Neurospora crassa OR74A: one gene and its partner. The protein of the gene in region 2 purifies or fractionates together with the protein of the main gene of each other region. This does not show direct contact. Links are inferred from orthologs where the notes say so. Each region holds a gene or a part of one and is shown on either strand. Other genes may lie near its edges.

Region 1 (4,288 bases), on a different chromosome or scaffold from region 2:
CACAGAACCCCCCTGGCGTCCTATAGTGATATTCTGTTTTGGTCGTTCCAATATTTGATATGCTACGTATTGGCGGTAGCGAAGAGGAAGAGTGGTTGTGTTGTTCTAACGGAGTACTTCGGGTTTGTCGGATACCAACTATGAGGGATGGTGCTCTAACGCGGATGCCAGAATCATGCGGAATTCTGAAAAATATGGTGAAAATTCGAAGTCAGTGTTTGAACCATGAGAGATCTTTCTGGCAGACGACCGACACCTGGATCTTCATTCAAGCTGCAGGTCTTGATCGGTTTAGTTTTGAGGACCAAGCTTTGGATCATCAGGAGCGAGTTGCAATCGGTTGTACTTTGTACAGTTCACATCTTGAGCCACGAAAAAAAGGTAAGTAAATCCACACTATGGAAGACCCGCTCGAAAATCAATAAATGAGTCGTCGTAGAAGCAGCAAACCACTGGTGTAGCAACTCAAGGACGAAATGCAAGATGATATTGAAGAATGATCAAAATCAAACAACAGGTGGTCACATTGTCAACGGACCACATACGGAAACCCGTGAAATCTGTTTGATGCTATACTTAACATTTCAGTTTTACCAGGACAATATCGGGGCAGCGAAACCGGCGGACTGGAAACCGTTTCACCCTCTAGAATGAGAGTATCGGGTAGGCAACGTAACAGTAAGTTAACAAGAAGGCCAGCAAACATTGTTCATCAGAGTCATCAAGCCTCTGGGTTATCGAGAATTTGGATGGCATGGCAAGTCATCGGGGTAAAACGCTTCATTATGATACAAGACATGCCCAACCCAACGCTAGCTCTATTGCATGCCAAATTTCTATGAACCGTCCATGACCTTGCTGTTTGCCGTAGTTCGGTCGTCGCTTTCAGTACGGTAGGAAATGCAATAACATTAAGCGTAGAAGTTGACGGTCTGAACGCGTGGTCAGTAAGCAGCACACAAGCATTGGTTGTCTTGGGGAAAATACTCACTTCCTTCTTCTTGGCCTGCACCTCAGAAATAGCGTCAACGTAGTGTTCGTGTCCAATCTGATTCTTGCCCATACGGAGGGCAATCATGCCAGCCTCGACACACACAGCCTTCAGCATGGCACCGCCAAACTCATCCGTGCTGCGCGCCAACTCGCCCCAGTTAACGCCGGGGTTGACCTTCATCTTCCTGGAATGAATCTTGAGAATCTGTGCGCGTGCCTCCTCGTTCGGAAGAGGGAACTCGATCTTGCGGTCAAGACGACCGGAACGAAGCAAAGCGGGGTCGAGGACGTCGATACGGTTCGTCGCGGCGAGAACCTTGATACGGTCGTCAGAAGCGAAACCGTCGAGCTGGTTGAGGAGCTCCAACATGGTTCGCTGGACTTCACGATCGCCGGACTTCTCGCTGTCGAAACGCTTGGTACCGACGGCATCCAACTCGTCGATGAAGATAATTGACGGGGCCTTCTCTTTTGCTAGGGCGAAGCAGTCCCTTACGAGCTTGGCACCGTCTCCGATAAACATCTGCACTAGCTGGGGGCCAGCAAGCTTGAGGAATGTGGCATCTGTCTGAGCGGCGCAAGCTCTGGCAAGTAAAGTCTTGCCTGTTCCGGGAGGTCCGTACATCAAAGCTCCTATTCCTGAAGTTAGCAGCAATACCACAGCAGCGAGTTTCTGCTCCATCTTGGTGAAGACATACCCTTGGGCGCCTTGATACCGATCTTCTTAAACCGTTCGGCTTCCTTCATAGGCCACACAATAGCCTCGACAAGTTCGTCAATCTGTTTGTCGAGACCACCGACATCTGTGTACTTCTCCTGAGGCTTCTCGTCGACCTCCATAGCCTTGACTCTGCTGTCGTACTCGGCGGGCAACGTATCCAGAATAAGGTACGAATCCTTGTTAACACCGATGAGATCGCCGGGCTTCAACTTCTCGGGGTCGACCAAGCCGATGAGAGGGAGAAAGATGGTCTGTCTGGTCGATGTCTTGATGACTGCCGATTTACCCACGCGCGTGGCATCCAAGTCGATGTTGGCGCCCTCTTCGGAGGACTCGGCGGTCGGGTCAAGGTCCAAAAGTTCAACGACATTTCCTACGAGATACGGAAGTTGTCTGATGAGGCCAGCGTTAGTAGGGGAGGTTTCGCGGCTACTGAAGGCAAACCTTAGGGGAGTGTAGGGGGAATGTTTACCGGTTGTTGGCAATCTTTTCTTGGTTCTCCTTGATCTTGTCCTTCATGGTAGCCCTCTCATGTGATAACCGCTGGTATTCGCTCTTCATGATTCTGGCATCGTTCTCGAGGAGGCGCTTCCGCATCAGGATGTCCTCTGTGCTCAAACTCAGGATCTCCTCATCTAGGATGTCATCGGCCTCGGGCTCGGCATCCTTCATCTCGGCATCGCCATCTCCCTCTTTCTTGTTGTTCTTATCCTTGTCCTGATCCTTCTTCTTGTCCTCGCGCTCACGGCGATCGAGGTCGTCGAGTTCCTCAAGGGTCGACATGGCTGACGCAGACGGGTGCGAATGTGGGGTATCGGTAGGGAAAGTCGCAAGGGCGCAGAGATCGGGTTACTGATCCTCTGTATGTAATCTCCACGGAATTTGAAACGACGACGTGGAGTAGTAGTGGTGGTTAGTGATGAAAATCGCCGTTGTTTGCGTTGTGGTTGGGAGACCGGCGGTCGTGCTTGTAGTGCAGTGCTGCGTGGATGGTGGCAGTTGCGTGGTCGACATGCGGCACAGAGCTTCGAGTGCTGTCGGTGGTTGACCAGGAGCTGGGCTGCAGGCAAAAGCGCGACGTAACAAGGCCGGGTACCTAACGCCCCACAGTATGTACATAGTACTTCAGCTCTAGACCCCACTCTGACCCCAGAGTGAACCAGCCACAGCTGACTAACCACGCGGCATCGGCCATCCAGGTTCACGGTTTCAATTCAGTCGAGTTTCACTGCACGATCATTCATCTGCTGTGCTTCACTCAATTTCGATGTTCATGAAGTCTTAAACGGAGTTGACCAAAACCCTTGAGCTAGTCCCTTACGGGGAAGCGGCTCGATAACACAGGAATTGATTCGATACATCCCTCATCGGACTAAAAATATACCAGCGCATTACATTAGAGTACGAGAAGGCCGTATTCACACCTCTCGTCAAGTGTCAAGTATCAACTCTCCCAGGACAACCACGATGCCGGACTGATCCTGATGCGTTTGAGCCCCAATAACCACAGTCGTCTACTCGTCGTCCAAGATCCCGCTTGCTATCGGCCCAAAAATCGGTACTTCGTATCTGGAAACCAAGTCAGCTTTTGTCCACTCGTTTGGATCCCGGAAGACATACCTGTCTAACGTGTCGGCGTCCCTATAAGCATTAATAACCAGCCATCCTACCAACGCCAAATCCGCCAGAAATAACAGCCAGCTAAGGAAACTCGACCAAGAAATCAACAAATGAAGCACAAACAATGCCGTAAACAGCAGACTGGACTGCCATGCGTGGAACCTAATCCCCAGTTCCACATGTCAGCAACGCTAACTCCTCGACCATACCGAGAGATGGGTCTTGTTTCACTCACCTGACATAATCACTCTTCCGCTCCAAAATCAACAGCAAAATCGCTCCCAGCGGCGGCACTGCCAAATACGCCAAACACGCCTCATAATCCAGCCTCAGTCCCAAGCTCGTATCAAACTCGGACACCATCCCCTCTCGAGCGCCCAGCGCATTGAAATATTCGCCCATGCTTCCTCCTACTCCTCCTCCTCCTCCTCCACCACCACTGCCGTTCCTACTGTTGAACCCAATGCCACTGCCGATCCCATTGGCGGTGCCAGGAGTAGCACTCGGACTTTGATACCTGCTGATGCCCTCACCCGACCAAGCACGATGTGGTTGTGGGTGTAGAAGTGGCGGAGGCGATACTTGCGCTGGGCGCTGTTGGTACTTGTTTCCGCTGCTGGGGGAGTAGGAAGAACGGCGGCCGTAGTCCCATGATGTGCGTGGGGAGGAGGTGGAGTCGGGTGGTGAGATGGTGCGCCCATGCTCCGGGGGTGCGGCTTGGTAAGGTGCGAAGTCCATTGTTTTGTTTGTTCTTGTTTTGCCTTTCCTGAGACAGTTGTGATGTGTAGTAGGTTAGGAAATCTCGTGTGCGATTATTGGAATGCTCGTTTCGATTTGTAAGAGCGTGTCCTTGTGTCAGGTATGTATCGTATCCTTACGTGGTGGTCCCGTAACTCGTTATCGTCTCTTCGTTCCGGCCGTTGCTCGTTAGTGGTTGTATTTTGGAAGTGGCTG
Region 2 (3,966 bases):
TGAGGAACAAACGAAAAAAAGCATGCATGAAATGTTGATGGGTGGTTGTGCCCGATACACAGTGGATACGTCTAATGAACAAGTGAGGCAAGATGGTAGGTGATATACGGTTGTAGCGTATTTTCTCTAGCATAAGGCTCTGTCTCTTCTCTCTTCCCGTCTTATTTCTTGGCCGGCGATAGCACGATTCCATACCAGATTACTAGATACAACAGGGATGATGATGATGACTATTCCCAAGACCAAATTATAGGTATTGGGCGGGGTCTATCTAGGTAGTTTAGACTCGTGTGTGGTGTGTGTGTGTGTGTCTAAACATCTTAAATGCCCTCAAAGTCACCACCGAGATCATCCTCATCCAGATCGCCCTCCTGTATCTCCTTGGCCAAATCACGCTCGCGCTCTCGTGCTTCCTGGGCATTCTTCAGCTCGAGACGGTGCTGGTTCATGGGGAAACGCATGGCCTGCAAAGAAAGAATTTGTGAGCAACAAATCTATCATAACTTCTGGAATTTGAAAGGGGGAGAAAGAAAAAAAAGAAACATACCTTGACACTCTCATCATGCAGAGCCAAGCAGGCGCGGATACGGTCATGGAACGCCTCGGCCGGTTCGCTGGTGGCATACACGTCGCCCACCTCCTTACTCTTCATGAAGCCGCGCTCCCTGTCGAGCGTGGCCTCGATGACGCCGTCCCTGATCGCCTTGGCCACAATGTACTCGGCACTCTCCTCGCTGCCGAGGTGCAAGCGGATGCAAATGTCGCGGAGCGAAATGCGGCTGTAGCTCAAACTCATCATGCGGATGCCCGTCTTGATGACGTTTTGGCGCAGACGCAAAATCAAGCTATAGGTGCCGTCGCGGCGGAAGGTGTCGGCATGCTGGGCGATGGTGGTCTCGAAGTCCTCGAGGTTGCCGACGCGCACGGCGCGGACGAGCAGGAAGTACGGGTGGAGAGTGGCCTCCATGGTCAGTTGACGGAAGATGGCGCGGTCGGGGATGTCGCCCATGAGGAGCTCTACGACGAGCAGGAGCTTGGTGGCCGTCTGGCTGAAGCCAAGTGCGCAGGCGCTCGAGGGAGCCTTCCGTGTCGCCGCAGTGAGATGCTCATGGGCCTCGGTGTACCGTAGCTGAATAGCCCGGACACGGCCGAGGTAGTACAGGAAACGCGCGACCTGGTTGTTGGCAGCGTTCTCGGGGAACTGGGTATGCTGCACCAGCAGATCGGCCTGGGAGATATGCGACGTGAGGAGGTAGTTCCGGAGCAGGAGGACAATGACGGAAGCCTGGGTGTCGATATCCTTTCGTAGCACGGCGGTTCGGAGAGCGGCGAGGAGGATCGGGCGGATCGACACAATCGGCGACTGGGGGGAAGGCGGGAGGGGAGCGAGCTGCTCGGCAAAGAGCGAGAAGTAAAAGTACACCTTGGCCGAAAGGCTGTCTAATGTGCGGCGGTTGAGGGACTGGATACGCTCGGATAGGAAACGCGACAGGGCGAATCCGCGCTGGAACTGTTTGGTGTCGTAGAGGTGGACCTGCGCCAGAATGCCTAGGAAGATGTCGATCTCAGGAATCACCTCCTTGGGGTCCTTCTTGCCACCGTTCTTCGCTGGCGACTTGGATCCCGAGTCGATCTCCATGTCTGAGCTGCTGCCGAGAGTCACATTTGGCCGGTCGACAGCGAGCAGCAGGTGCTCGGCAACTTGAGTATTGGGTGAGGACGCGGAGAAGGTTTCTGAGACGACTTGTGCGAGGATGTCGGGCGTCAGGCGTTTCCGGATCGACGAGATGGATCGCAGTGCCCGTAGAGAGAATCTGGGATCGAACAGGGCAACAGCACGGTCTAGCAGCGCAAAGTTGCTCTTGATGTCTGCGCAAGCGAGTGATGGTTAGTTCAGCTCACAAAGATAGATGAAGCTGGGGACTGGGAAGGTACCGTACCGCTGATGGTTTGGGCGACGGGGTCGACCTGGGCCTCAACCTCGCCGGCCTTGGTGTCGTCTTCCATGGCAATGTCGCCATCGGCGTCGTTGGGAGGTTGCGCAGAGTTCTGCTTGTTCTTGGGAGGGGGGACTACGACGGTCATTTCGTCCTCGCCTTGCTTTCCCGACTTCTTGGTATCCTTGTCCGTCATGTCGAGATCCTTTCCACCCCAATAGCTTCCGTGCTCAAGTGGTTCCTTATCTGGAGCGGCTCCGGGTTTGGTTATAGGCTGGCTGGGCTGGAGGTCGTGGTTGCTGTGTTGGTAACGGCCCGATGGTCGATGGGAAACGGGGTGATGATGTGGTGGGGGTTGACGGTTGCGTTGGCGCGGTGGGTGATGTTGGAATGCTGTGGTGCGGTGATGATGACGCCGTTTTGGTGGGCAACCTAATAGAGCAGAGGTATGAGTTCGAGTTGCTTGGGGCGATCTCGCGAAGCGCGCCCTTCTTGCAAGCCTGGAGCAAGCACCTTTAGCAGCAGCAGCTGGCAGAGTCGCAGTGGATCTAGCTCTAGGCGGGGAATGGAGCACTAGAGGTAGAGAGGGAGGTATCTATGGGGGTGACTTCGTCGTCGGCGTTGTTAAGCGAGGGCCAAGGGCAAACTGCTTCGTCGTCGTTGTCGATGGATAACTACCTAGGTAATTCAATCCAAGCTGTGTACTCGGAGTTCGGTGCAGGAAAGGAAAGTTCAAGCTTCACAGACCCGTGTTTTGCTTGATGGGAGTTGTTGAGCTGATGATTGAAAGGAAGTACCTACCGGTCACGGTTGGGCCAGCATACAAGAGCGGACGACCAACTGAAGGGCCGCCCTGTGCAGTGAGTGAGTGCTATGGTGGCCTTCGGACAAGCTCCAGAAGAGCTTCACACATCTAGGCATTGTGATTGGCCAGATTGTCTTGAATGGGTCCACTGCGGCTCGTCACTGACGTTGTTGATGTGCTGCCTGTCGACGACGTCCAGGCAGGCTCGAGGCAGGGTACTTAGGTACTTAGGTACACCTTACATTACAAGTACTACAAGTGTAGGGTAGACAACATCCAAAACATCTTACCACCTCGACCACCAATGTAGACTTTTACAAACTGAGTTGGTCTTGGGAGACATGGCTCCTATTTCAGGATGGTGTTAGCAACCATTGCCTATACAATATATGGTCCTCGCTTTCTGTCTGCATTCCCAAGATGGCATTATCACGGGGTTGAATATGCATATGCCTCCTGAACCCTGCATCATCTGGCATATCACGGCAAATCTGCACTTGCTTGCAACCCATTATATTTGGAGCTTGTTTCGTAACCCATAAAGGATTGATGCTTCAACCTAAGCCATATTATGGGTAGCTCATGCCAGGGATAAGCATACAAGTATCCCGAGATGAATGTATTTCCTCCGTCTCATCCGGTACGCCACCCTTTTCCATTTCCCACCCCCAAAAGAATTACCACATCCATGCAAACAAGCGAGACCCGAAACCTCTTGTTCATTCTGGTCTGAATACCCTTCCATTAAAGATCCCCCTTGCCCGGCATGACCTTGGCGGCCTGCACCGCGCTCATCTTGGTGATCCACTGAGCATTGGGCTGCACCTTGCGAACCGTCCTGAGCTCGTCACTAGAGTAGCCAGGGATACGGATGTTGTAGGTACGCTCCAAAACAAGCTGGATATCGCGGATCTCAAGAACCTTGGATCCTCTCTCCTTTGCATTGCGGGACGCCGCGTGGAGGACACTCTCTGTAAAGCTATCGGCGAGACCAAGGACGGACTGAAAAGGAATGCCACGTTAGCTGGTTGTGTGGTGATGACTTTGTGAGTTTGCTAAAGGGGGTTAAGGAATGACCGCGGACTTCCGCAAAGAAAAACAAAGGATTATCAGGTTGCAAACAACGTACCTCCTCAACCTCAGGTGTCAAGAGATTTCCGTCTTGGCCCTCAGCCGTACCACCGCACACCTGCCGAACCAGCTCGTCCAGCTTCTTCTTGTTCA

What was found. The genes of interacting proteins can lie anywhere in the genome.
Region 1: the proteins of rpn-3 (region 2) and rpt-5 purify together in Saccharomyces cerevisiae (affinity purification with mass spectrometry; 3 studies listed by BioGRID). This does not show direct contact. The link is inferred for Neurospora crassa OR74A from reciprocal best matches to the Saccharomyces cerevisiae genes RPN3 and RPT5.

What each region holds. Positions count from the first base shown.
Region 1 is NC_026504.1:3,450,359-3,454,646, forward strand, and holds rpt-5 (regulatory particle, ATPase-like-5 protein), read right to left. Parts: upstream 2,801-4,288; 5' UTR 2,498-2,800; coding exon 2,187-2,497; intron 2,108-2,186; coding exon 1,692-2,107; intron 1,627-1,691; coding exon 992-1,626; intron 933-991; coding exon 912-932; 3' UTR 435-911; downstream 1-434. Other genes in the region: NCU04413 (UPF0132 domain-containing protein), read right to left, coding at 3,229-3,283, 3,335-3,496, 3,570-4,072. UniProt on the Saccharomyces cerevisiae protein: The 26S proteasome is involved in the ATP-dependent degradation of ubiquitinated proteins. The regulatory (or ATPase) complex confers ATP dependency and substrate specificity to the 26S complex.
Region 2 is NC_026507.1:3,274,541-3,278,506, forward strand, and holds rpn-3 (26S proteasome non-ATPase regulatory subunit 3), read right to left. Parts: upstream 2,801-3,966; 5' UTR 2,134-2,800; coding exon 1,941-2,133; intron 1,870-1,940; coding exon 548-1,869; intron 465-547; coding exon 321-464; 3' UTR 27-320; downstream 1-26. Other genes in the region: NCU02223 (hypothetical protein), read right to left, coding at 3,487-3,744, 3,872-3,966. UniProt on the Saccharomyces cerevisiae protein: Acts as a regulatory subunit of the 26S proteasome which is involved in the ATP-dependent degradation of ubiquitinated proteins.